7 linked regions of the Ovis aries genome follow. The protein of the gene in region 4 interacts with the protein of the main gene of each other region in a pairwise test. Links are inferred from orthologs where the notes say so. Each region holds a gene or a part of one and is shown on either strand. Other genes may lie near its edges.

Evidence for each region.
Region 1: the proteins of MRPL11 (region 4) and PNMA1 interact in binary tests that used the Homo sapiens proteins (3 or more experiments, as listed by UniProt). The two-hybrid records come from large-scale screens. The link is inferred for Ovis aries from reciprocal best matches to the Homo sapiens genes MRPL11 and PNMA1.
Region 2: the proteins of MRPL11 (region 4) and TAX1BP1 interact in binary tests that used the Homo sapiens proteins (3 or more experiments, as listed by UniProt). The two-hybrid records come from large-scale screens. The link is inferred for Ovis aries from reciprocal best matches to the Homo sapiens genes MRPL11 and TAX1BP1.
Region 3: the proteins of MRPL11 (region 4) and HOMEZ interact in binary tests that used the Homo sapiens proteins (3 or more experiments, as listed by UniProt). The two-hybrid records come from large-scale screens. The link is inferred for Ovis aries from reciprocal best matches to the Homo sapiens genes MRPL11 and HOMEZ.
Region 5: the proteins of MRPL11 (region 4) and THAP1 interact in binary tests that used the Homo sapiens proteins (3 or more experiments, as listed by UniProt). The two-hybrid records come from large-scale screens. The link is inferred for Ovis aries from reciprocal best matches to the Homo sapiens genes MRPL11 and THAP1.
Region 6: the proteins of MRPL11 (region 4) and CAMK2D interact in binary tests that used the Homo sapiens proteins (3 or more experiments, as listed by UniProt). The two-hybrid records come from large-scale screens. The link is inferred for Ovis aries from reciprocal best matches to the Homo sapiens genes MRPL11 and CAMK2D.
Region 7: the proteins of MRPL11 (region 4) and FSD2 interact in binary tests that used the Homo sapiens proteins (3 or more experiments, as listed by UniProt). The two-hybrid records come from large-scale screens. The link is inferred for Ovis aries from reciprocal best matches to the Homo sapiens genes MRPL11 and FSD2.

Annotation. Positions count from the first base shown.
Region 1 is NC_056060.1:83,213,320-83,217,536, reverse strand, and holds PNMA1 (paraneoplastic antigen Ma1), read left to right. Parts: upstream 1-1,325; 5' UTR 1,326-2,140; coding exon 2,141-3,202; 3' UTR 3,203-3,984; downstream 3,985-4,217.
Region 2 is NC_056057.1:69,918,519-69,922,201, forward strand, and holds part of TAX1BP1 (tax1-binding protein 1), read right to left. Parts: intron 2,573-3,683; coding exon 2,469-2,572; intron 1-2,468.
Region 3 is NC_056060.1:21,432,241-21,435,224, forward strand, and holds part of HOMEZ (homeobox and leucine zipper protein Homez), read left to right. Parts: intron 1-2,448; coding exon 2,449-2,984. UniProt on the Homo sapiens protein: May function as a transcriptional regulator.
Region 4 is NC_056074.1:40,911,098-40,915,272, reverse strand, and holds the start of MRPL11 (large ribosomal subunit protein uL11m), read left to right. Parts: upstream 1-1,270; 5' UTR 1,271-1,345; coding exon 1,346-1,468; intron 1,469-1,846; coding exon 1,847-1,942; intron 1,943-2,636; coding exon 2,637-2,730; intron 2,731-2,815; coding exon 2,816-2,975; intron 2,976-4,175.
Region 5 is NC_056079.1:36,888,441-36,892,721, forward strand, and holds the start of THAP1 (THAP domain-containing protein 1), read right to left. Parts: upstream 2,913-4,281; 5' UTR 2,687-2,912; coding exon 2,616-2,686; intron 1-2,615. UniProt on the Homo sapiens protein: DNA-binding transcription regulator that regulates endothelial cell proliferation and G1/S cell-cycle progression.
Region 6 is NC_056059.1:12,176,296-12,180,719, forward strand, and holds the start of CAMK2D (calcium/calmodulin-dependent protein kinase type II subunit delta), read left to right. Parts: upstream 1-1,616; 5' UTR 1,617-1,733; coding exon 1,734-1,798; intron 1,799-3,408; coding exon 3,409-3,503; intron 3,504-4,424. UniProt on the Homo sapiens protein: Calcium/calmodulin-dependent protein kinase involved in the regulation of Ca(2+) homeostatis and excitation-contraction coupling (ECC) in heart by targeting ion channels, transporters and accessory proteins involved in Ca(2+) influx into the myocyte, Ca(2+) release from the sarcoplasmic reticulum (SR), SR Ca(2+) uptake and Na(+) and K(+) channel transport.
Region 7 is NC_056071.1:22,376,442-22,380,124, forward strand, and holds part of FSD2 (fibronectin type III and SPRY domain-containing protein 2), read right to left. Parts: intron 3,132-3,683; 5' UTR 3,062-3,131; coding exon 2,426-3,061; intron 2,291-2,425; coding exon 2,195-2,290; intron 560-2,194; coding exon 329-559; intron 1-328.

The sequences.
Region 1 (4,217 bases), on a different chromosome or scaffold from region 4:
TCTTGCATGGTATTTATTACCAGACTGGCAAGCCTAACTTCTTAGGTTTACAGGAAGTATGCATATTTTTATAAAACAATTGTATGTCCTCCCCATATTTTTGCTGTGTTAATATTTGCCTCTAACAATTTGCAGCTGTTTCACCTTTTCCTCATTTGTCTCTCAGTCGAAGGCCTTGTTGGAGGGGACAGAGCACAGGAACAGCCTTGACAGTCTGTAATTATTGTACAAATATTTTAATAGCATATAAATAAGTATATTCCTTTTATTTTGAAAAAAAAATCAGACACTGCCTTCTGTGTGTTTGCTGCCTGTGGCACCCTTTTTTAAAAAGACTGTTACATATTAAAATAGTGTACATATATATAAATATTACCTCTTTTGCTGTACAGTTGTGATAGACCAGACGGAAGATTTTATTTTTTGTGTGCTTTTTATAAAAAAAAAAATTAACACACTAAAGAAAATCTTGCTGATGTGATTGTAATGTACCTATGTAACTTATTTACTTTTGAATGTTCTTCTGTATCTTTAAACCTTTTATTAAATAAGGTTTTAAAAATTCATAGTTGAATGCTGTGTCCTTTAGGGGAGATTTTCACCATCTAGGATTGACGTAAATTGGCCTTGGTTTGCTTGCAAGGAATTACTTGAAATTTTTGAGCCATAAGCATTCTGTTTTATCAGCCCTTTGTCAGTGATGCCAGGACAGGGGAAATAACACACTAGCGTTTGCCTGGCTACAAAGGTTACTTAATAGATCTAGATCTTACAAAATTTTAGAAGAAAAAGGCTCAACTCAGTGTCTGACAGGAGAACACTGCACACTTCCAGCGTTTTAGTCTTATTGGAATGAAGTTCGCGGAGGGTGCACAGTGCGATCGATCGGCTGGTACTGCATCTGTTTTTAAACAGCAAACTTTGGGAGTTAGTGATGGACCAGGAGACCTGGCGTGCTGCAGTCCATGGGGTCGCAAACAGTCGGACATGATTGAGCGACTGAACTGGACTGGTTGAAGGAGCGACGTGAGTTAAGTCTTTCTTGACAGACTCATATCATCTTCAATGCACTCCAGAATTATATTAAACTTTTAAACACAGTGCTTTGTTTAAAAAGGAAAAAAAATCTGGAAAATGAAAAAGGACATGCGCCATCAGAGGACGCTCCGCGGGCCCTTAGCTGGCACCATGGCAACCGCAGGCAGCCGGAGCGTCAGGGTCTGGAGTCTTCCAGGCCGCCGTTGCCTTGGCTACGCTCGCGCAGGATTCGGCTGCGGGGGCGGGGCGAAAGCCACTCGTCGGCCGGCCCCGCCCCTCGCTGCGGCAGTAACGCCTGGGCTGGCTGCGGGTCGGTCAGGCCGGCAGCCCCTCAACGCCGTTCGGGGTCAGCTCGCCGCAGCCCACGCGCAGCCGCTGCGGCCTGCCTTCGCCGGCGCCGCCTCTAGCCTCGCTCCCGCCTCCTTCCCGCGCCTCGGCTGCTGGTGCTCAGGGTATCCGACTGTCCTCGCCGCCCAGAGAGGTGTACCTGCGCCAGCGAAGAAGCCGCTCTTGGGCTGGCCTCGCTGCGACCTCTGGACAGTCTCCCCCTGCAGGGACGGCACAGTTCGCAGTCTGCAGAGGAGCGGCTCCTCGCGCGCCTGAAGGCCGAGCTCTGACCGCGGAAGCCGGGTTGATGCCAGGAGGGGCAGCAGCGAGTGGTCGGCTCCTGGGCTGCGGAGAACTGGCGGCCACGCCCCGGGATCACACCCCGGCGGCCTCTTCAGAGCGCGGCGTCTCCTGCCTTCTCCTCCTGCCTTCCCTCCGGGCCTCTGCGCGGAGACACGACACCCTGCCTGCAAGTGCGGGACCCGGCCCGCGGACGCCGACCGGAGACACGAGATGGCGTTGGGCGCGTGACTGAGCATCCCCCAAGTTTCGCTCCGAGGACGCGGAGGACGGACGTTGGTGGAGGCAGTGAAAGGACGAGAGCTGGACTCTGGTGTCGTTTGTTAATTGTGATTGCTTGAAGCTTGACTCCCTTGGGCAAATTGCAGGGGAGTGTCCGCTGTCGTCCTAAGTCCTTTAGCACAGGGAGCCACAGTCTTAACTTATCTAACCCCCTGATAACCCAACTATCAGGGGCTCTTGATAGTTGGGGAAAATGGCGATGACACTGTTGGAAGACTGGTGCAGAGGGATGGATGTGAATTCCCAGAGAGCCCTGCTGGTCTGGGGGATCCCGGTGAACTGCGATGAGGCTGAAATCGAAGAGACCCTCCAGGCTGCGATGCCCCAGGTGCACTATCGAGTGCTTGGGAGAATGTTCTGGAGGGAAGAGAATGCCAAAGCAGCCTTGTTAGAGCTCACTGGAACTGTGGATTACGCTGCCATCCCTAGGGAGATGCCGGGTAAAGGAGGGGTCTGGAAAGTAGTCTTTAAGCCTCCGACTTCCGACGCTGAATTTCTAGAAAGGTTGCATCTCTTCCTAGCCCGAGAGGGATGGACTGTGCAAGATGTTGCCCGTGTCCTTGGGTTTGAGAACCCCGCTCCGGCCCCAGGCCCAGATATGCCAGCAGAGATGCTAAACTATATTTTGGATAATGTTATTAAGCCTCTTATAGAATCCATATGGTACAAGAAGCTGACGTTGTTCTCGGGGAGGGACATCCCGGGGCCTGGGGAGGAGACATTTGAGCCCTGGCTGGAGCACGCTAATGAGGTCATTGAGGAGTGGCAGGTGTCTGATATAGAAAAGAGGCGGCGGTTGATGGAGAGTCTTCGAGGCCCTGCTGCTGATGTCATCCGCATCCTCAAGACCAACAACCCAGATATTACCACCGCCGAATGCCTGAAGGCGCTTGAGCAGGTGTTTGGAAGCGTGGAGAGCTCCAGGGATGTGCAGGTCAGATTTCTGAACACTTACCAGAACCCGGGAGAAAAATTATCTGCTTATGTCATTCGTCTGGAGCCTCTGCTGCAGAAAGTGGTGGAGAAGGGAGCCATAGATAAAGATAACGTGAACCAAGCCCGCCTGGAACAAGTCATTGCCGGGGCCAACCACAGCGGGGCCATCCGAAGGCAGCTATGGCTGACTGGGGCTGCGGAAGGGCCGGCCCCTAACCTCTTCCAGTTGCTTGTGCAGATCCGTGAGGAGGAGGCCAAGGAAGAGGAGGAGGCGGCTGAAGCCGCCCTCTTGCAGTTAGGCCTGGAGGGGCACTTCTGAGTCCCGAGAAAACTGACTTTAGTGCAGACCTAGATCACAGCTGCTTTTCGTGTCTCTGTGCTGTCCTGCAGGTATGTCACCTAGTGGTAAAGACTTAGCGTGGTTTTTCTGGGGTAAGTCAGGCCTGCATATTCACGTTAACATTGGTAAAAGCTTGCAAGCCAGCACCAGAGCTGCTGCAGTATGAGTCATGTCAGCCACAATGCCAGGGAGAGACTTGGACAGTGCAAATTGTCAGTGCTGCAAGCTGTCATGGCGTCATCATCATCAGTTGTGAAAACCATGGGAACTCGTGACACTTCCCAGAGGTAACTGAATGTGAAATTGCATGTTCAGAAGTTTTTAGTGCACGGCCTGGCTCACACAAGAAGTGTTGAGTAAAAATGTGAACTGTTGTTATTACTACTATTGTGAGTAGTTTTTGTGTTTACTGTAAATTGTTTCTGATTTATATTAATGGAAAGAAATGTGAATTAGATATTATTCAACTTTACAGTGCAAATTTCTCATTTTTCATCTTTAAACATCTAGATCAGTTTGAGACGTGTTCTGAGGCTGCAAAAGGAGTTGTTAGAAATACTGCACTTAGAGTTGTGTAAATCAAGTTTTCACTGAACAAGATACGAATAGAACAGGGAGGTTAATATGAACCAGCTCAGTATCTATTCCCCCATTTCAAATCTTTATCATTGAAGAAGTTTACCTTGTTCATGCTGGTTCTAAGTGTTCTAAATTTGAAGTTATCAAGCACATGTTTATTAATAAAAATATTTTAAAAATTCTGTTGTCTTGTTTTTCTGACATGTATGAAAACTTTCAGTGTAATTAAGCTCTATGATCTTCTTCGGAAGACTTCGCCATGTCACTGAAAAAAACCCCAAACCTCAGTTCTTTTACTTTAAGCTTTATATCATACTATGTAATTTAAAGTTTCAGTACCTTTCAATATATTCAATTTTTGCATGTTTTCTACCAGACAAGTGTTTGAAGGCAAAATAGACATAACAAATATTAA
Region 2 (3,683 bases), on a different chromosome or scaffold from region 4:
ATGTACCACAACTCACCATTCACAAATAACAGGCTTAAAAGACTCTAAGACTACAAAACTTAACAGAAGACAAGAAAAAAATCATTACAAGTTCTGTTAGCATTTTTTTCCTTAGAAAATAAGAACAATACATAAAGAATAAATTAAGAATCTATACTTCAGCAAAACTAAAACTTTTTCTAAAAACACCATTGTGTGTGTGTTAGTTGCTTAGTCATGTCCGACTCTTTGCAACCCCACAGACTGTGTAGCCCACCAGGCCCCTCTGTTCATGGGATTCTCCAGGCAAGAACCCTGGAGTGGGTTGCCATTTCCTTCTCCAAAAGGAACTACAGAAAGAAAGAAAGTGATGTCACCCAGTCATGTCCAACTCTTTGAGACCCCATGGACTGTAGCCTACCAGGCTCCTCCACCCATGGAATTTTCCAGGCAAGAGTACTGGAGTAGGTTGCCATTTCCTTCTACAAAAACATCATTAAGGAAATAAAAAGGCAAGCCACAGACTGGGATAAAATCACACATATCAGACAAAGGATTTGTATCTGGAATAAAGAACACAACTCAATAATAAGATGAAAACAATTTTTTAAATGGCAAAAAAATGAACTCTCATAATAAAAAGGAATGAACTACCAATAATAGGCAACTATATAAATAAATCTCAAAATAACTGTGATGAAAGGGGACAGGAAAAGAAGAGTGTACATATGATTCCATTTATAGAAACTGTACAAAAGGTAGGCTAATCTACAGCGGCAGAAAGCAAGCCAATGATTTCCCAGGAAAAGGGGAGAGAGGGAGCAATGAGTTGCAAAAGGGTACAAAAAAGATTTGAAGGTAGTGGAAATGTCCATTAGCATGACATTGTGATAGCTCCACAGCTATAAATACAGCAAAACTAAACAAACTGCAGACCTTAAACATGTGCAGTTTACTGAATTTCAGTTGTACTACAACACAGAAGTTTTCAGCTGGAAAAAACACATTCTATCTTCCTTTTGATAATACAATGAGGTTTTTTAAAATATTCATCCAAAATTGTCTCACTTACTGAAAAATAGTTTAGTCCCTCATAAACAACTATTTTGACCTCAAGGATAATCAATCCTCTATAAAAGGATCTTCTGAAGCAACAAAAATACTCAGCTTAAAGTCTTATTAAAGGATTAAACTATTATTAAGACTATAACATAAAATATTTTACATTAGTTACTATAGTGTGTTAAGTCATTTCAGTCCTGTCTGACCCTTTGTGACCCTATGGATTGTAGCCCACCAGGCTCCTCTGTCCATGGGATTCTCCAGGCAAGAATACTGGAGTGGGTTGCCAAGTCCTCCCCTTCAGGAAATCTTCCTGACCCATGGACTGAACTGTGTCTCTTTTATCTCCTGCACTGGTAGGTGGGTTCTTTACTACTACCCGGGAAGCCCAATTACTATAGTAACGTTGGGCTAATATATAAACTTCATTCCACGGCTTTAAAAATTACCCCTTGCCTCTCCACATGTACAGAGAAACAAACACAGAAAAAAATATTTAACTGAACAAACGAAAACCACATACTACACAAAACACCTTTTCCTCCCTTCCCCCAATCAGATACAAATGAGAAGCATTTTCCCTTTGTCCTTTATATACCCCAGAGTGAATGCTGCTAGGACAACTGCAAAATTTAAATGTTTTACTATTACAGTTTAATAGAATCAAAATAAATAATAGTAAAGGCAACCATTCACTTGGCTAACATTCCCTTTTTCCACTTTACAAATCTACTCACTTTAGGATGTGGTGAAAGTCTTTGCTATTATTACAGTACATATAGGAAAAAAGACTACTTTCTTTTTACACAGTTCAGAGACTTTTCATGTATCCTTAGAAGACAGACAACATCCAACATCAATTAATCCTTTACCCATTATCAAGAGAAGGATATTAGGGGAACAGAAAACAATCACGATTTCCCGCCCCCCAACAATGTAACATTTGCAGGATCTTAGTACCTCAACCACAGATCGAACCCATGCCCACAGCAGTGAAAGCACCAAGACCTAATCCACTGGACCACCAGGGAATTCCCTAGATCATGATTTTACACACATGCCTACATGGATAAGTACACAGAACACCCCCCACTTCAAAAGTGAAACTAAACATCAGGATACAAGGGTAAAGAAACTTTGAGGGCTTCCCTAGTGGCTCAGTGGTACAGAATCCACCTGCAAATGCAGGAGACACCAGTTTGATCCCCGGTGCAGGAAGCTCTCAGAACAACTAAGCCCATGCGCTGCAACTGCAGAGCTTATGTGCTGCAACTACTGAAGCCCGTGTGTCCTAGAGCCACCTCCCGCAACCCCCCTTAAAAAAAACAAGAGAAAGAAACAAACTCTGGGATACCCAATCAAAACAAAAAAGATAAGATAAGCCATTACATTTGATATATCTCTTCCTTACAAGGGAATTAGCTTACCTGCAAGAGTTGTTTACATTTATTATATTTTTCTGTTTTGTCAGCAATTTCTTTGGTCATTTCAGAGACTTGTCCCTTAGTTAGATTGTCAAAATCTGTCTCAGCTGTAACAAGGCAGAAAATAAGATTACTAAAAATTACTTTGCTCAGTATATTAGCTTCCTGACTTGAAGGTCAGTATACTGTGAAATAAATGGAATCCTAAAGCAGAAATATCTAATTCAAAACAATTATTCAAAACCATCTATTCATACACTAAGTAAACAAAGAAGGAACAATATAAACATTAGATGAGAATTTCACTATAGTTTGGCTAGAATCAAGTTCACATTCAATAAAGAAAAAAACTGCTAGCTAAAAATATTCTAAAATGCCACAAAAATTGTTCTTTATATATTTATTATATAAGATATATAGGAAAGCCACATTCTTTGAGAAAAGATGTTAAGCCATTTTTCTAATCCTTCATACTATTCAGTAAGTCTTAAGTCAATATAACACCTTTCTCAGTACTTCTATTAATACCATATAGAAATGAAAGGCAGGATCCTATTTCCACAGCAGTTGAATCTAAACATTTAACAGTATACAAAACTTACAATACATTTATTAAGTCTAAAACATCAACTACCCCAAACATTATACAATTAAATATACTTTTATATACTCTAGCATTTATTTTTGTTATTGTGTCATCTTTAACATAAGGTGAAAAAAAAGACACTAGGACAGATGAAAGCCTAGAGTTAATTTAAATTTTCATGTTGTTCATGTACTCACTATGTCTCTCTAATCCATTCTAAAAGTTAATAAGCTAATAAAAATTTTAACTTATCCACCAACAGGTGTACTAACGAGGAAAACACTCTAATGACCCGAAGCAGCCAAAACAGAACAAAAACAAGGCAAGAAAGAAATGTGATTAGAACTAAAGGGATTTTTAATTTTCCCTCCACAGAACTATACAATTAAAGTGCCATAAATGGTTCAAAATTCCACACATTTAGGGAAATATTAATTAAAAATTATTTTTAAAAATTGCTATTTTAGCTAGCTAAAATTAAAATTTCAATTCTTGGCTCTTTTCCTACAGACCAAATACTATAAGCATTTGCATTTAAAAACACAAGCTCATTTAATTAACACTTGAGAACACGCTCACAAAGATAAACATGAGTTTACACTCATATTTTGTATATTCACCACATGGATGAC
Region 3 (2,984 bases), on a different chromosome or scaffold from region 4:
CTGGACTGCTTTATTCCTTGTGCTACCTTTTCCTCACGTCTAAACTGTCGCCACGACCTTAAAAAAATAGGGCACGAATAAGGTTGAGTGGGTGTCGAGCGTTGGATCATCAAGTATTCTCCAGCTTAGATGTAGTGGTGTTCCTGGTGGGCCACAACTTCCAAATGGTGGTTTTAAGTACCTACCCATGCAGGCACTTCCTCACAGCCACTCAGCTGTGTCTTGAGATGAACCTGTTGGGTAGCAGCAATCAAAATTCACCCGGCAGCAATCAAAAAGGATTTATATCTAAATTATAGATTCTCTAAAGCAGTCATTTTGATACTTTTTTAAAAAGCAGCAAAATCTTTTCTGGAATTATATCCAACTCCCCAAATATAAAAAGTACAAAATCAGATACCCTGGTTTCCCCCATTAGAATTAGGACTCTGCAATAACAGATTGGATACAGTAATTTAAAATATTCCATCTTTGCCTCACTTCCCCTGTTGCCTAGGAGGAGCATTACTTTTCAGAATCATCCCATGATGCTGAAGCAATGATAAAAACTCTAATTTATTGAGCCTTTAGTATAGGCATAATGTCAGTTGCATTTTTTTAGTCATAACCTTGCAGGTAGATGCTGTTATCACCTTTTATTCTGATGGGAAACTAAGGCTTCAGCAAGCACTCTCGGGAGTGGTGAAGCTGTGATTCATCTCAGATTTGTCTCACCCTAGACCTCTACCTCTAACAGCTCTAGGCCCCGCCTATACAACACCTAGCACACAGTAGGTGCTCTGTAAAAACATATGTAACTTTACATACGCTCAACATTATCTTCAGTTTTTACACATGAGGAAACTGAGGCGCCTGTAAGTTCAGACAGAACTGGGATTCAAACTTCCTATGTAATGCTGGCCTTAATCACATTCATATCCACTATGCCATGCTGCCTCCACTTACCCTCTGAAGGTTCTCAAACTGTATTGCATTCAAGGTCTGCATGGCCTTCAGTTTGTTAAGATTTTCTTGTTAAAAGGGAATGGTGACATGCATTAGAATGCTGCCAAATTTTTCTGTTCATCATATAAAATTTCCGATATTACACTGCTCTATCTGTAACTTTTACATAGGCATGCTGTCCTCTCCGTAATGTGTTACAGGGACTATTTGTAAACTCAGATGGGAGTCCTTGAAAAGTAAAGGGTGACAGATAATGTTAGTCTCTAATGCCCACACAGGGAACATTTAACAGGGAATTGAGTTAAAACTCCATCACCAGGAAGTCCCTGGTGGCCCAGTGGTTAGTACTCAGCACTTCCAATGCAGGGGCATGGGCTCAATCCCTGGTTGAGGAACTAAGATCCCCACAAGCCACGTGGCAAAAAAAAAAAAAAGTCAAACTGGGGCCCAGAATTATTCTGGGAAATAGCTTGGGCAGGTTTCCAGGAATAAAGCACAGTCAGAGGCTTTCTCTGCAGTCCCCACACCCATGTTGAGCCTGGGAGCCCTGGTGCCACTGGGTAGCTTGCAGGACCTGGTTACAGTTTATAATGAGCCTGCCCACCTGGTTCCAAGAAGAAAGCTGGACTGAAGAGATAAGAGCTGCAGGCCTCCCGCCCTGTGTGGAGGCGGCTGTTAAGGTCTGAGGGAGCTCTCTAGGCTTCCTGGAGAGAGACAGCAGTTGGAAGAGACAAAGGCTGGGAAAAAGGGGAATAACCTTTGTTCTGCGGAAGTCTTGGGGAAGGAAACATTCACCTCCCTCTACCCTCTCCGGATCAAAACCAAGGGGAACTCCATTCATCCCAGATCATTGACCCATCTCATCCTAATGAGACTTAGAAAAAAATTAAACTCAGTCACCTTCCCGCAACACTCCACCACCAAGAAAAGAAGAAAAGAAAAGGGAGCTGGGTAGAGGGACAGTGCTGTTCTACCTTCTGTACCTTCTAGATTCTCACACTTTGTATTCCTAATCTTCCACATTTTAGAGATAATCTAGAGATAACTCAAGAAATAGTCTGTTAGGAGCTAAAGTGTTCTGAGATTACATACATCTCTTTGGGTTTTCTAGGTGAATCTTCATTCTGTCACTCTTGTTGCATGAACTTAGAGGGTGAAGTGAATTTGAAGGGGAAAGATAAAGGCTCTAAGGATGTTTTCCTTTTTTTTAACCTCAGAAGTCAGATAATCATCTTGGTGACAACACTCACTATTTTTGTGACTTGGAATAATTTAACTTCTCTGGACTTTGGTTTTTTCATACCTATAGGGGGAATTATAGCAGGCTCTGATGATTTATAAGGTTATGAAAATTAAATGAGAAATTGTTAAACACTTTAAAAGCAATCCAGTACAGTACACATAGAAAATTGTTTTTGGAGCCCAACGTTTTGTTTGGTAGAAATTGAGCAATGGCCTGAAAGGGGAACCCCAGTGATCGAGCTGTTTCTCTTCTTATTACAGCTATCTCTGAAGGGCACAAATCAGAAAGCACCATGCCTCCTAATAAAGAGGCCAGCAGCCTTAATAGCTCCCCTGCGGGCCTCATCTGCCTCCCTCCAATCTCTGAGGAACTACAGCTTGTGTGGACCCAAGCAGCCCAGACCAGTGAGCTGGACAGCAATGAACACTTGCTCCAAACCTTCAGCTACTTCCCCTACCCCAGTTTAGCAGACATTGCCCTTCTTTGCCTGCGCTATGGGCTGCAGATGGAGAAAGTCAAGACTTGGTTCATGGCCCAGCGCCTTCGCTGTGGCATTAGCTGGTCATCTGAAGAAATTGAAGAGACTCGAGCCCGAGTAGTCTACCATCGGGACCAACTCCATTTCAAATCCCTTCTCTCTTTTACTCATCATGCAGGGCGGCCCCCAGAGGAAGTGCCTCCTTCTCCTGTGCCACCTCCGGAACAAGTTGGTCTTGGAATAGTGCCCCTGACTCTTAGCGAGCCCACCCAGATGAAAGGATTGAAGGTAGAGCCTGAGGAGCCACTGAATCACCAG
Region 4 (4,175 bases):
GGCAGTGCAGAGCTGTGGTAAACAGCACAAGCTCTAGAATCAGATAATCCTGACACTTGTTTCCCAGTCTTGTCACATACCAGTTATATGTTCTGGGGCCTCTTTTAGTGCCTCAATTTCTCATTTGTAAAGATTTTAACCGTCTGAGACACCAGGGAAGTGCCCATTTGTAGAGTGTAATAAAACAATTTGTCTCATGCCATTGTGAGGATTAAATAAGATAATAATACCCTTAAAGCAATTAACAAGCTTTCCAGGTAGCTCAGGGGTAAAAAATCTGCCTGCCAATGTAGGAGCTACAGAAGATGCAGGTTTGAGCCCTGGGTGGGGAAGATCCCCTGGAGGAGGAAATAGCAACTCATTCCAGTATTCTTGGCTGGAAAATCCCCTGGACAGAGGAACCCCAAGGGCTATAGTCCATGGGGTTGCAAAGAATTAGACACAACTGAGGACGTAGTAAGTAGTGACCTAAAGCAATTAGCACCATGCCTGGCACATAGCAAATGCTAAAAAAAAAAAAAAGAGAGAGAGAGAGAGAGAAAGAATAACATGATGTGATGGCTTATTTTACTGGACACAGGTGATGTATCAAATATGTTCTGGGCCTCTTAAGCCTCATAACAGCTCTCTGAAGGTTTTGTCTTTATTGTGCAGTGAAGTGCACCTGCTGACTAGGTGTACTAAAGCACTTTGCTCATTCAATGCTCACAACAATCCCAGGTGTAGGTGCTATATATTATAATCCCCATCGTACAGAGGGGGATACTGAGCGTACGTTAAATAACTTGATCAAGTTCATAGCCAGCAAGAGAAGCAAGCAGGCGATTTGTTTCCAAGGTCCGTGCTGTTAACCATATTCCCTTTCAGCAACAAGTGAGGAAAACAGGCTTAGAAAGTGAAGAGATTTCCTGAGGCCTCCAGGCTGTTTTGAAACCCAGGGATTATCACCAAATCCAGCAGAGGGCGCTCCAAAACACCGCAATCTGTGGGATCGGCATCGTAGGACAAAACTACCATACCCACAATGCAGTGCGGGCATTAAGGTCCCCTTCCCAGCTTGGCCGTCTGAGGTCTTGCCTGTGTGCTCTCCAGGAGGAATATGTGTATCTGAGCCATTCGAGTCCTTCCTCAATCTTAAAATAGCACGTTAAAAGTTTTTTTCCGCTTCATCTCATCCTTGTCTTACCAGTTGGAGGGCGGAAGGATTGAGTCAACGCTGCTATTTGTCAGCTTTATTTGTCTCACCCTTACGTGAGGACCCTTAACCTTTAACCCAATATGGCGGCGCCCAGAGCTCCGCTCTTGGTGTAAATCTGAGGTTAACTCAGCCCGGGAACTCCTCATCATGTCGAAGCTAAGCCGGGCCACTCGGGCTCTCAGGAAGCCCCAGGCCGAAGGCGTGATCCGGGCCATCTTGCGGGCAGGCCAGGCCATGCCCGGGCCTCCTCTAGGCCCCATCCTGGGTCAGGTGCAGCCGCGGCAGAAGCCAGGCGTGGGAGGCGCGGGAGGGTTGGATCTAGTACGCGGGTGAGGGGTGCGGACTGGGCCAGGGCGGCCTCGTTTCAAACCTCGGCTCTGCTGCCCACATACTTTATGGCCTTGGGTTAGTTATACAACTTCTTCGAGGCTCAGCTTCCTCCGTCCTTCGTCAGCGGGCTGTTGAAAGGACAGAGAGGTATGGAGCACACGAATCATCTGGCACATAAAATGGTAGTTGAATGTGGGTAGAGAGGAAAGGATGGGTATACTTAGAGACGTGAAGACGGAGGAGAGAAGGGATGGAGCCTCCTGGGTGGAAGGAACCCGGCCCTTCCTCCCCACGCTTACCACCATGCCTCCCTCACAGCGAGGCGTCTCCATCAACCAGTTTTGTAAGGAGTTCAACGAGAAGACCAAGGACATCAAAGCAGGCATTCCTCTGCCTACCAAGATTTTTGTGAAGGTGCGGAGTCGGGACTCTGATCCCCAATTTTCTTATTCTCCTCAAGGCCTGGAGCTGGTCACCTGGAGTTGCTACTTGGCTCCCCACTTGGGGCAAACCTGTTTTTTAAAAATATATAGTTTTGTTTACTTGGCTGCACCGGGTCTTAGTTGAGGCCGTTGTTGGCTGTGCTGGGTCTTGGTTGCTGCCTGCAGGCTGTCTGTAGTTGCGGTGCTCGGGTTTCTGTTGTTGAGCACAGGCTCAGTAGTTGTGGTCCACAAGCTTAGGTTGGTATCTGGGATCTTCCCTGACCAGGGATCGAACCTGTGTCCCCTGCATTGACAGGCAGATTCTTAAGCACTGGACACCACCAAGGAAGTCCAGAATCTCTTCTTGATGCCGGGCCCCCTTTCCCCTTTTACACAGTGGAGACTAGACCATATCTTTCCTGAGTGCGCCCTACCGTGTTGTAGATCTTTTTTTTTTTTTGTCCCTCCAACTTGCCAGGGCTTCCAGAGCAGAGTTGGACCTGGAATAGAGGTGACAGGGACATTTGTTAGAAGTTTATTTTTCCTGTGGTTTTATGGTCAGTTGAAGGGGCAACATAGGAAGATGAGCTGAGGTGGGGCGGGCAGGAAGTCAGTAGCTCCTTGGGCTGGGGCAGCAGGGCTTGGGGCAGGCAGGAAGAGTCTCATAACTCTTTTTTTCCCTTAAGCCCGACAGAACATTTGAAATAAAAATTGGCCAGCCCACTGTTTCCTACTTCCTGAAGGCCGCTGCTGGGATTGAGAAGGGGGCCCGGAACACAGGTAAGGGGCAGGCGGGGCATCTGGGCTTCCGGGGGCCTGGAAGGAAGCAGCGACTCCTGAAGGGCTGCTTGTGCTTTGCTTCCAGGGAAAGAGGTGGCCGGCCTGGTGACACTGAAGCACGTGTATGAGATCGCCCGCGTCAAAGCTCGGGATGACGCCTTTGCCCTCCAGGATGTGCCCCTGTCCTCTGTTGTCCGCTCCATCATTGGCTCTGCCCGTTCCCTGGGTATTCGTGTGGTGAAGGAGTGAGTATCTGGGGGAAGCTCAGTGTGAGAGAAGGGCCTGGAAAGTTCTTGACTCTGGGACAAAGCTGAGGTCCCACTGAGTGGGAGAGTCAGCGTCTGTGTTAAAGGATCTTAGATTCTCATTCATTCATTTGGAATATAATTGTTATGCACCCAATGTGTATTAGACTGTTCTGGACACTGGATACAGTCAGGAAGGGAGGTAGCCATGCTTGGCCTTGCTTTTAAGGAGCTCCCAGTCCAGAGATGGAGGCAGATCCATAATGGAGCATTATACCGCTGGATGGTCAGCCCTGATAAAAGAAACCACAAGTGTCTTGAGAACAGGGAGTAGGGTTCCTGATTTTGCTTGTGTGTCAATGAAGGCTTTGGCGAGCAGTTGACATCCAAGCAGAGCCCTGGGAAAGGAGGTCAGGGACTAGGGACAAGCATTCCAAGAAGTGGAAAAATCCCTGTGAAGAATGTCAGGTGAAGAGTGGAGCAGAGAAGGTGTGATCTGGGTGTATTACGCTAGAGACAGAGTGGGACATAGTAGGAGGTGAGGCAAACAGGGTCTAGTTGGTTCTCAAATCTAGACCTGATCCTGAGGCCAACAGAGGGCTCCTCATGGGGCTTTGGAGACCTCAGGAAGGTGAGATGTTGTGTGGGAGAGTGTGTGGCCCAGACGACAGCAGGGGAAGCACTCAGCCCTTCCCTGGCCTCTTGCTGCTGCTGTCACACCGCATGCAAAGGCCGATGGTTATTTCCCAAGAGGAGCGGGGGTAAGCATGGAGCGGGGGTGGGATTTACTTTGCTCAGATCTTTACTTGTTCTGGGAATATAGCAGTGAGCAAATCTGGTCCCTGCTCTGAGAGATGTACATGTACCACCTGATGACTTCTTTGTACAAAATGTTTTTGGGCTCAGAGAGCGGGCAGGTTAATCTGGATTGGGATTTAGCTGTTCTAATCCTCCAAGGATAAGGAGAGATTTAAGAAAATAGTAAAAGGCAGAGGTGATGGCGGAGTGACACTCCTGGCAGAGAAGAGAGATGAGCGAAGGTGTGAGGGCTGGGAGGGTCTTCCCTGTAGCTCAGATGGTAAAGAATCTGCCTGCAATGCAGGAGACCTGGGTTTGGAAGATCCCCTAGAGAAGGCAATGGCAACCCACTCCAATATTCTTGCCTGGAGAATCCCATGGACAGAGAAGCCTGGTGGGCTA
Region 5 (4,281 bases), on a different chromosome or scaffold from region 4:
AGATGCAGATTAGCTCTTCTTTTGGTCAAATCAATTATTTAACCGCAGGAGAAACTCCGTATTTCTGAAACGTGTGAACGTCATCCTTAACCAGTGCCAGTGAAGGGTTTTCCTTATGTCTGTATTCCCTCAGCCACATCGTTAGAAATGGGGCTGGGGGGGGGGGGAGCTGAAAGTCTGTGATCACGTCACCATCTCCAGATCTGTTCCTTCACATTGGAACTGCTGGAGTTCCCCCATTAGCTTTCAGAAATTCTAATCAATCAAGAGGCAACATTAGAAGTGTTAAGTGTTCTGTTTCTTAGAAGGGGGAAAAAAAATCAACATTCTCAAGATCTCTCTATACCCTACACACTCTGATTTTTGTTCTCATACCAAATGTATAAAAATGCACCCACATTCACTGTTAAACATGGAAGGTCCTTATTCCCCCCAAATTTAAGATTTTGCTTTAGTAATTATTTACCTATAAATGTGTGGATGTGTGGATCACAACAAACTGTGGAAAATTTTCAAAGAGATGGGAATACCAGACCACCAGACTTTCCTGCCGCCAGAGAAACCTGTATGCAGGTCAAGAAGCAACAGTTAGAGCTGGACATGGAACAACTGACTGGTTCAAAACTGGAAAAGGAGTTATACTGTCACCCTGCTTATTTGACTTATATACAGAATACATCATGTGAAATGTCAGGCTGGATGAATCACAAGCTGCGATCAAGACTGCCAGGAGAAATATCAACCTCAGATAATGCAGATAATACCACCCTAATGGCAGAATGTGAAGAGAAACTAAAAAGCCTCTTGAGGAAGGTGAAAGAGGAGAGTGAAAAAGCTAATTTAAAACAGCATTCAAAAACTAAGATCATGGCATCTGGTCCCATCACTTCATGGCAAATAGAAGACGCAAAAAAAAAAAAAAGGAAATCGTGGCAGATTTTATTTTCTTGGGCTCCAAAATCACTGTGGATGGTGACTGCAGCCATGAAATTAAAAGGTGTGAAAAAATAGATGCTTGCTCCCTGGAAAAAAAGCCATGACAAAACCTAGACAATATATAAAAAGGCAGAGACATCCCTTTGCCGACAAAGGTCCGTCTAGTCAAACCTATGGTTTTTGTAGCAGTCTTGTGGATGTGAGAGTTGGACCATAAAGAAGGATGAGCGCTGAAGAATTGATGCCTTTGAACTGTGGTGTTGGAGAAGACTCTTGAGAGTCCCTTGGACTAGGATATCAAACCAATCAATAGTAAAGGAAATCAACCCTCAATATTCACTGGAAGGTACTGAAGCTGAAGCTCCAATACTTTGCTCACATGATGTGAAGAGCTGACTGGAAAAGATCCTGATACTGGGAAAGACTGCGGGCAATAGAAGGGGGCGACAGCGGATAAGATGGTTGATTGGCATCACCCACTCAAAGGCCATCAGTTTGAGCAAACTCCGGGAGGCAGGGAAGGACAGGGAAGCCTGGCGCACTACGGTCCACGGGGTCGCAAAGAGTGAGACACTACTTAGCAACTTAACAACCACCTACAAACAATTTGTATACTCTACCACCGATTCTCCGTTAGCTATCACCCATTTACAGTGGGAAATTTTTGCAAGACACTTTAAACCTAACGGAATTTGTAAATGTTGAATTTGGCCGATTGAAAATGGCATCGTGCGGACATCAGATCATCATTATTCCGTTGCGCGGCTCTTTTCAGTGAGGCTTCTTTCTTCTTAGGCTCTGGCCGCAGCAGCGTCCAGGAGAAGCAGCCCCGAGGGCGGGGTCGCGCTAACCCTGACCCTGAGGGCCCCCCTCACCACGCAAGACGCACTGTCACCGCCCGGGCTACACTGCACATCTTGGCAGTCCCTGAGGCTTTCTCCGGAGCTCAGCCGTCCTTAACGGTGGGGTCCCAGAAGCTAAGTCCAAGACGTGCTCCCTGACACCGCAAGGTGAGTCCTCACCTCACCGATGCCGGACCAGCAGGGTGGGAAAGGCGGGACTTCGCTTCTGCTTCAACTTCCCTTCTAAGAGTTATTACCACCTGCCTTCTCCGCGGCCCGGGTGTGGCACCTTCACAACCAGCGGGGACTCCACACAGCGCCCGCGAGCTTCGAACCCGCCACCCAGAGAAGCGCGCCAGCCTGAGCGCGAGGGCGAGCAGCCCCGGGGACGCGCAACTCTAGCTTGAGGCGGCGGCTTGGAGACACGCCCACTGTCCGGCCCCGCCCCTCTCACCGGTCTCGCGCGGAAACGCGCCTGGCTCCGCCCCCGAGCGCGGCCTTCGCACTGGGTCTCGTGCAGGACCGCGCCCGGCCCCGCCCCTCTTACAGGTCTCGCGTGGAAACGCGCCTGGCTCCGCCCCCGAGCGCGCCCTTCGTACCGGGTCTTGCGCACGCCCCCGCCCGGCCCCGCCCCTCTCACCGGTCTCGCGCGGAAACGCGCCTGGCTCCGCTCCCCGAGCGCGGCCTTAGCACTGGGTCTCGCGCAGGCCCGCGCCCGGCCCCGCCCCTCTCACAGGTCTTGCGCGGAAAAACGCCTGGCTCCGCCCCCCGAGCGCGGCCGCGCGCCCCCCGCGGTCCCACTAGGGCCCATCCCCGCGAGCTACGCGGGGTCCTTACTTGTGAAAAGAAACGGGTTTATCCTTGTCGTATCGATTCTTGCAGCCGTAGGCGGAACAGGACTGTACCATCCTTCCGGTCCTCAGTTACCTCACTTCTGCCGCCCCAGCGGGCAGTTGAGGCTGTTATCAGTGTCGCTGCGCTCTGCTTTGACACCCTCACTTCTTCTGTAGCTTTGGCCAACAGTCAGACTGATGAGGGCCTCACTCGGGAGTCACTAATGTGCCCGTTTTGTTGTTTGCATTAGCGGAAAGACCACAGCCATCGCCCGTCTCCCATCTCCAAGATGGCGGAGGCAGCTTCAACCTCACCTCTCGCGAGGAGTTCGTCCTACTGTTTCTGATTAGCCCTAAGGTCAGAGGTAACGTTCCCTGGGACGCAGGCCATTGGCTGAGGCCGGCGTTGCGGAAGTGGGCGGGGCCCCCGAGTCTCCGGAAGGAAGAAGGAACTAGGTGGGAGGAGAGGGGCAGGAGCGCAGGACCAGTCCCGCCTTCTTCGATGCTTCCCTGGCTTACGTATCCCGTGCGGCTGAGGTTGGAGAATTAGGTGATTCTGTTGGGTCCGCTGGCCCAACCTGAAGCAGGACAGGTGCAAAGCTGAGGTGGTCGGGTAATTGGGTTCGTCTCTTTAAAAGGGGAGCCCCAGTTGGAGTGATTTGTAGAACGTGCTGGGCTCCTCTCCTTCCCGGTACCTGCCTCTTTAGGTATTCGGAACTCTGAGGAGCTCGGGGAAGAGGTCGCAACAGCAAAAGCGGACACCCGCACACACGCCAGGCCCAGTCTTCCTGGGAGGCCGAGACTAAGTCCTTGGCGGCTGTAATAATCCTAACGATCCCCAGGTGCTGTTGGGAAAACCCGTCTGAGGGACGTTTTCCCTCCTCGGCTTGCCCCTTTCGTCGGTGCTGATGGCTAACTGTTGTCATCTCATGGCTCTCTCTCTTTTTTTTTAATCGGTGAGCAAGGCTGGCACATCTTCATAGAGCAGCTGTTCTAGTAAGGGGAAGACAGACAATAAAAAGGTAAATAAAATCACATTGTGCCAAGATGCCTGAATCTGAATACATTAGAATGCTGTAAGGCTAATGAGGGTAGAGGAGAGGGTCACAGCCTAATGTCTGAGAAGGGAACATTTAACCAAAGAATGGGAAAAAGGGAATGGGTGCCAACTAAGGCGATCAGGCAGTAGAGTTCTGTCTTTTCTGGGAACGGAATGGAGGCTGTGGGTAGAGCCCAGTGAGCCAGGGGAGAAGGGCATGAAGTGAGGGGAAGGCTCCTAAGTTGGTCTGGATGGTAGCTCAGTGGGAAGCCACGGAGTCATTTTAGGCCTCAGGGAGATGTGATAAACATATTTAAAAGGTCATTGTGACTGTGTATCAGAAAGGGGTAACAGAAAGTGAGCGGACCAATTAAGAGGCAAGGAAGAGAATGGTTCCTTTGGTCTAAGGTGGTGGCAGGGTCTGAGTATGTGAGAGGTAGAAACGCCAGGGCCTGCTGCTAGATGGAAAGGAGGAAGAGAAGAATCAAGGTGGAGTAGAAAATAGCAACGCATCCCATTGTTCCTGTCTAGAAAATTCATAGGCAGAGGAGCCTGGCTGATTATAGAGTCCATGGGATGGCAGAGTCAGACACAGCTGTGCACGCAGGCAGACACGAGCTTGAGTTTCTGG
Region 6 (4,424 bases), on a different chromosome or scaffold from region 4:
TGCTTTTTCAAACAGCCATGTACAGAGTATAGCCAGGTGTCACTCTCCGATCAGATCTTTGAGCACACAAGCAGAGCGCATGCAACCTCTCCTTTCCCTTTTTCCTTTTGCAAAGCGAAAGGTACTAGACTTGTTCACATGATGCGAGTGACGTCAGCCCCTACTAGGTCGCGTGACCGACATCTAACCTTCCCACTACCCCGCCCCCGCCGCCACAGCAAGAAATCTCGCGAGAAACCGCCTTACTATCAGAACTTCGGGAGGTTACCGGGGAGTTACTCAGGAGGGAAGGTGTGGCTCGGCTGCGGAGTGCTCGCTTTCGTTCTGTTCACGTTCATGGCCCAAGCAGAGGCTTTTGGGGATTGCCAGAGTCTGAGCAACCCAGTCTAGAAAACGGCGGCGGAGGTGGAGAGTGAGGCGGCCGTCATATCAGAAGTGAAACGTGGCGGGGCGGGCGTCGCCCCTCGCCGAAGAGGCCGCGGGGGAGGGAGGAACCCCGCGCAGAGCGCCCGGGAGCGGGCGCAGTGGCTTCTGCCGGGGCGGGCGCACCATCATCGGGGCTTGGGGGAGGCAGGGACCCGTCTCTGGAAGCAGCGTTTTGCCCACATCCGGCCCCCACTGTGTCAACACCGACTCAAGCCGAGACGAAGCGCCTGCACCTCTGGCCCTACCGGGGCACCGCGGCTCGGGGGGCGGTCCCTGGTGCCCGGCGTCCACACCCAGGCTGGGGGCCCCCGCGACCCCCGGCCGCAGTTTCCGCAGTCCACGAGTTACCCCGCTTCTTCCCGCTAAATCGGCCCCACGTTCCGGCAGAAGCCTAATTGCGGGTTTAACTGTAATTTTCTTGTCTCGCCTCCTTCACCTACACCCTCTCCAGGCGTCTCCCCCGCACATCCTCCTCCACCCACCTGGTCTCTCCCTAGACGGGCGTGCGCGCGTGTGAGACCCGGGGAGGGAGGGAAGGGAAGGAGGAATCCGCGGAGGGACAGGGTGAGAGTCGCTAGCGGGAGGGATAGGATCGGCACCAGGGGGCTTCGGGAGGGAGGGGGCACTGGCAGGCGGAGGGAGCGGCGGGAGGAGGCGCTGGGGCGGAGGCGGAGGCCCGGGGACGGCGGACGAGGCTTCGCCCGAGCGGAGCGCTGTCTTTCGCCGCGCAGTCTCGGAGCCGCCGCGGGCTCGTGTGGAGCGCGAGGCCGCCGAGGTGCGGGCGGGAGGGAGGCCGGCTCCGGCGCGCCCCGCGCCCGCGCCCGCTGACAGCTGCAGCTGGGCTCGCGCCGTCCGCTCCCGGCTCCGCGGCCTCCGCCCCCTCGGGCTCCCTCCCCTCCGCCTCTACCCCTCCTGCCCCGGTGCGGATCGTTTCGCAACTGCTCGCCTCTCGCCCCGTGCCCGGCTGTTTTCCATCTCCCGGCCCCTCTTCTTGAGTACTTTGCGCCTGCATCTGGGGAGAGGGTCTAGAAAGGGGTCGGAGGGAGCGTCGGGAGAAGAAGGAAGCGAGGCCCGGAGGAGGAGGAGGATCGGCGGACAGCAGGGAGGAGACCCCACGCCACCCTCTCTGGTCATCTCCCCTCCCGCCCCGCCCCTGCGCACACTCCCTCGCCGGCGAGCTACTTTCGGACGAGGAAAGTGAGGGCGGCCCTGGGTGACAGCGCCGCGGGGCGAGTCCCGGGGAAGCCGCGCGTCTGCTTTCGTCTGGTCCGCCGCGCTCCCAGCCAGGGGGACAGCCCGGACCGAGGATGGCTTCGACTACAACCTGCACCAGGTTCACGGACGAGTATCAGCTTTTCGAGGAGCTCGGAAAGTAAGCGCCTTTGCCGGGTACTCGCACGTCCCCTTTCCAGCAGAGGGCGGGTCGTGTTACCCCCGACCCACGGGCCTCCCGCGTGGGGCGAGCGAGTTGGGAGACGGGAGGAGAGGGAGGAGGGCCCCCGGTGTGTCGGCTCGGAGGAAGGTGTTGTCTTAGTAAGAGGAGGGGACGACTAAGGGGAAAGACCTTCCACCCCGGCTGTGGCCCTTTCTGATAATCCTTAGCCCACCTTCTCCCGCTCCCCCACCCTCCTGCACTAGAGACTTAGTGGATTTACGATCCCTGCAGTTGTAGCTGTCATCCTGAGAAGTGTGCGAGCGCGCGCGCGCGTGCGCGTGTGTGTATGAAGAGGAAACAAGAACCCATGTAAAATGCAACATAGATCACGTTTTCTGTAAATAGAGATGCCGCCGGGTTCGCCGGCGAGTCAGCCATACGACCCACGTTCAGATGAGAACTCACTGCCCCAGACGGTGCCATATTTATTGATGCCGAAAGTTCAACTTGGCGTAGAGTCTGTTTCGCATCCAGTAGTTGTTCTGTCCGGGAAAAGAGCCTCCCAAACGAACTCGACCCCCTGTCCCATATCCACTATTATTCCTTGCACTAGATTGCTCGCTTATCATCACCCTTCCTAGGATTTACATGAACATCTTCGAGTTCTCTGGGAGGATTTATTTACACAGGCAGTGGAAAAGCCCTCTGGAGACTGGGAGAGTGCTTCCCAGGGGTAACCTAACGTTGTATGTTGTTTGAAAACGACCTTCTACACCTGACCGACAGGACTACTTGGCAATGTTAAGGAAGGAGACAGGAGACCTACTGAGAACCTGTGCAAAAGAACCTAGGGGCCGAGCCGTGAACGTTAATTTATGTAGCATCAAACCCAACCCCAGTTCCACTATCGCTAATGTCGAACATTACTCAAGAAAGGTGCATTTATGTGTATGTTGTTGTTTTCTACAGTTGAGTTAAAGGACGTGTAAATATCTTTTAAATGTAATGAAGATCACATCCTCATATATTTATGTTGTCTGCTGTGAAAACATGGAGAATATGTCGGAAGAGCAGCTTAATTCAAATCTCTCCCCTCCCCCAGTCCAAAACAGGGCAGAGAGAAATCACCACAGCAGGATTTGTTAAACCACACACAAATATTCCTAAGATTTATTTTAATGAAAGCAATCGCCATATTTACTTACTTGGAGCCACATTAATTTTTTTTTCCTACCAGAATAAATAGGCAGCAGATTTTTGCTGCTCCTCTTCAGCTCTTTGCAGGATTTTTTCTCAGAGCATTTGGTGCTGAGTGTGAATTGTAAAATGTTTTCAAATTTCATGTGCAAACAAGAGTCGTCATTATTGGCAGTTCCTTTCATTTTGTTGATTAATAATGTGTGCTCCCAGTTAAGTAAAATTTATTTTTGTTCTTCAACGTTAAAGAAGGCCTGAGTTTCCAGGAAGGATTGTTCGTTTTCTAGTTATTACTATATGGTGCACTGATATTTGACAGTTCACTAAATTCAATAAAAATACTCAGATGTAAGTTTTTAATAGAATATCAAGCTGATTATACTGATGACCTGCTAATTATTGGTTTTCAGGGGGGCATTCTCAGTGGTGAGAAGATGTATGAAAATCCCTACTGGACAAGAATATGCTGCCAAAATTATCAACACCAAAAAGCTTTCTGCTAGGGGTGGGTATTTTCAACCACATATATGTTAATTGTGCATTTGTCCTGTTGGTTATTGGTTCTGTTGTATGTTGGTTGTGTTCTATGTAAATAAGTCATTTAGTTATAATTGTAGCTGTAGGTATCATATTACCTTTTGAGATTATTTCCTTCCTGAGTGCTTCTTGGTTTGTGCAGTTTAAAAATGTGACAAAATACAATTGTTACTTGATAAATTGTTATTAAAATCTTACCTTTTCCGTGGGTAATAACATAACTAACTACATTTTAAAGCAAATACATGTCACTAAGTGCAATTTGCCTTTAGCTCCACTGTGAAATAACTTTCAGAAAAACCCTGGAATGGAAAAATGTAAGTCTCACAACTGTCATTATTCCCTTTTGCTTTTGAGAGGAAAAATAGGTCATAACTCAGTTAAATCATATATTTCAATTGTAGTTACACTTGAACTTAATTCATTAAGGTATATTTAACAGTAATGGCTTTGGGAGGAACATTTTATGGTTGCTATATTCCAGGAAATTCAGCTTGATTTTGATGTTTCTGAGTGCAGTTTAGACCTTTACTTGATCATCTGCAGTAAGACTTCTCACTCATGTAATGTATTTTACACATGCTTTATAACTGCAAAGATAATTCATACTCATAAAATAGCTGTTGACATAAGCAAAAAACTTGGAGGGGTCTCATTGCATTCTTTTTATTTTGTTGAACTCATGCAAAAGTACTTATACCAAAAGGTTCGGCATTCCAATTATTGTGAGCACGTGTCTAAGGTATTAATATTTTCATGGGAATTTATGGTTTGATGAAATTAAAATGAAGAAAATGCCATAGTGTAAGCCCCTTTCAGTGACCTGATTTAAGTAATGAGAAAAGAAATCCCATCAGGGTTGCTTTTCCTTCTTTAATTTGCTTCCTAG
Region 7 (3,683 bases), on a different chromosome or scaffold from region 4:
GCCAGAGAAGTCTCAGAGTCCTGTTTTTGCCCCACTCCACGGTGAGAGCACCTATCTCTGGGTAACCAGGGCAGAGGAACACAGACTCTGGCGTTAGCTGAGCGGTGGTAGAGGGGAGGGTCAGCTGTGTGCGAGCCTGCTTGGCTACCCAGTGAAGCTGGGCAGTGAGATGGGGGATGTGTTGTCATGGTTACACATCCAGTGGAACCAGATGGATGCGGACCATGAAAGTCGGTTCCAACCCCTTCAGGCAGAGAGGGGACAACCTAACCTACTCTGGCCATGACTGTCATTCCAGCTCATTATTTCATTTCACTTCATTACTGACCTTTATGAAATCAACCTTCTCTTCATGACACATCTCCTCTATTGTTTCCATCAGTTCTTTGCAGGTGTCAAGATTTTCTCCACAGCTGACCAGTTGTCCATATAAAGCTTCCAGTTTCTCTTTTTTTTTCTCCCCTAAAGCTTGTATTTTTTCTTCATATTTTTGAGCAAGTGTTTCCAAGATCTCATTGTAATGAGACTCAAAGTTTTGTTCTTGTCTTCCAAAATTCTCCTGCAAGATACAGTCGATTTCAGCTGTCATTTCAGTGCATTTATGTTGACTGAAGAGTCATCTGGGGCATGAAAATGCATCTACTCAGAGATGTTTTGGTCCCTCCCTGTTAATCTTATTGTCTCTTGCCAGGAGGCTGAGGTGGACAAAGGTGGAATTAGGACCAGGAGTCTCCAGCTAGAACCCCAGGGATAATCTTAACAAGAAGTATTGCTTTCTTTGCTGGTGGCATTTTACAATCCTCTTCCCCATACCCCACCCACCTCTGGTGTAGCCACCTCCCATCACCATGACAACTGACTTGGAAGATTATTATGATTATCATTACCATAATGAGTCAGCCTGCCACTGGAACTCTGGACCTTAACGTGAAGACGTCTGCCCTGGAAGAGTCCTACCTAACTTGCTTTCCCTCTTGAGCTCTCAATATCTCATGACATTCACCTCCACTCCTTGATGGTTGAATTATACAAACATCAGGATCACACAGATCCTCATAACAACCAAGAAAAAGATGCAGGGGGGGGGGGGGGAATAACCCAGGTGGGGCCGTCTAATAGATCAGAAAAAGCAGGAAGACAGAGAGATACTGGCTGTGCCAGTATTTAATCCTGGAATACAATGGATGGGAAATATTAATTAAACTTTATCAACTCCTGGTCCCACTTGGACTGGAAACCCTGGAGAGCTCTGCGGGTTCGGGGAGTGTTTACTGAGTATTGACTGCATATGTAAGACTTGCTTAGAATGCTTGAAGAGAGGGAGAAGCGGTAGACGACCCCCACCAGTGCTGAGTGCCAAGGAAGAGGCCAGGGTCCTTGCAGAGGGTGGAGACACTGTGAACTGAGCGCAGCGGGCAGCACGGAGTGCAGGGCGCTTTTTCCTGGCTGCTGTGCGCTCACCCTCCTATCACCCACCACCCAGTGCTTGGATGTGGAAGGGCTGGTCCCTTCCCTGCGTCTTCCATAGGAGATTAGCGCAACAGCTCCCCTCCCTTTCAAGACTGGGGGTGGGGAGGAAAGTCTAGCTTCATGGGAAAGGAGCCCAGGGCTTAGTTCATTCACACAAGATGCTCCCACTGATGCAATCTGAGCTGCATTAAGAGGTAGAGCACCCACATGAAGGGAGGGGACAGAGGAAGTCCTCTGGTCGCATTCGTGGGCTACCTCATCCCAATGGCTAGGTTGTGTGCTGGCGTCCAGCAGTAGATGATATACCTACGAGGCACACCCAGGGAACTGTGACATGTTTGGTGACAGGCACAGAAACTTACTGGTGGTGTGAGAAACAGGTAACATCTAAGGAAAAGAACACATCAGTGACAGGATGGGTGTCTTGCAATGTCTTTTTGGCTGGCCCATGAAAGAGTCCTAACTTATAGTGTGAGTGGAGACGTAAAGATACTGAAGACCCAGCCCATGAGGGCTAAGGTTCGGGAGGGAATGCTGCCAGGTAGTTGGTTCCACAGGTTTATGCCCCTGTGCTATGGGAAGGTAGACAGAGGGGTGAGGGAACAGGAGCTGCATCAACATCATACATTCCAAGAAATAGCTTCCCTAATTCATACCAGACACAGCTGCTGACTCACCACTCATGGCTGCCTGTATCTGACGGAGTCATTGAGCGTGCTCTTACCTCCACCGTGATGAAAACCTCTTCTAAGTGACTTGCAAAGTTTTCCATCTCAATAATTTGCTTTTCCAACTTGTACATATTTTTGTGAATTTCATCCTGTCAAATCCCAAGAAGACATTAACACTATGTTTTTTCTCTCTCGTAGAAGGCATTTTAGATTCATTCCCCGCCTACATACTTGAGATACAAATACAATCTCAACAGAAAGAAGACCTAAGCAGGCCTACTTACCTTGGCGCTCTCCAGGGCTTTACTGAGCGGAGTCACCTCATGCTGCTTGTGTTCATCCTGATCCTTCTCTGATGCTCTTACTGGAGTTTTGCAAGTGACACAGAAGATGTCAGCCGCTTCTTCCTCGTCCTCCTCCTCTGGGATGACGTAGCACTCGTACTCCTCGCTGGCACGGCCGTGGCTGTACTTATAGGCTTCCCGCAAGTCCTGGCACTGGCCTGCTGAGCCCCACCCCATGAAGCCCAGGTCCTCACCCTGAGCCGTCTCACCAGTAAGTCTCCAGTCTCTCTGCTCACTCCCCATCATCATATAAGAAGGATATTCTGAAACCTCTATTCTGGGTGTGTTTTCCTCAATAAACTCATCCCCTAATTCGTGATCATCTTCAAGTCCATAGGGATGGACAAGTTCATCCACTTCCTCTCCAAGGTCTCCCAGAGCCTTCCCTTTCACACCCCCTCTCATGGGCTCATGGGTCATTTCAGCGTGGACACCTTCTCTTCTCATCTGAGCACTCTCTTCTGGGAAGATCTGCAGTCTGTCTTCAGAGTCGTACAGATCCATGTGATAGAAGCGGAAATCCTTAGAAGCAGCAGACCTGCCCAGCCCCGGTGCCTCCCCAGCTCCCTCCTCCATCACAGCTCCAGGCAGCGCCTCTGCATAAGGAGGACTCTTCGTGGACAGTCCTTAGTGGCTCTCCTGGGTCCTAGAACACAAAACCCCATTTCTGAGAAGGTTGCTGCAGTAGATGGTTATTTCACTCCGCTCAACTCGTCGCATTAAGAAAATAATTTCAGCTGAGCAGCTCAGTTGTAGTTTCACTTTAAACAATCTGTAAGGAAAGGTTTGCTTTCTGCAGGAGGATGGACTTCCTGAAGCTCCAATACTCTGGCCACCTGATGCCAAGAGCTGACTCATTGGAAGAAGACTCTGATGCTGGGAAAGATTGAGGGCGGGAGGAGAAGGGGGCGACAGAGAATGAGATGGTTGGATGGTGTCACTGACTCAATGGACACGAGTTTGAGCAAACTCTGAAGAATAATGAAGGACAGGGAAGCCTGGTGCGCTACAGTCCATGGGGGCTGCAAAGAGTCAGACACGACTGAGCAACTATACAATGACAACAAAGCTTAAAAGAGACAGGAGAAATTATGAACAAAAATTTTGGCATTTCCTAAATTGGCACTGGTAGAATGCCAGTGCAGGAGACACGGGTTCAATACCTGATGCTGGAAGATCCCACATGCTGCGCAGCAAC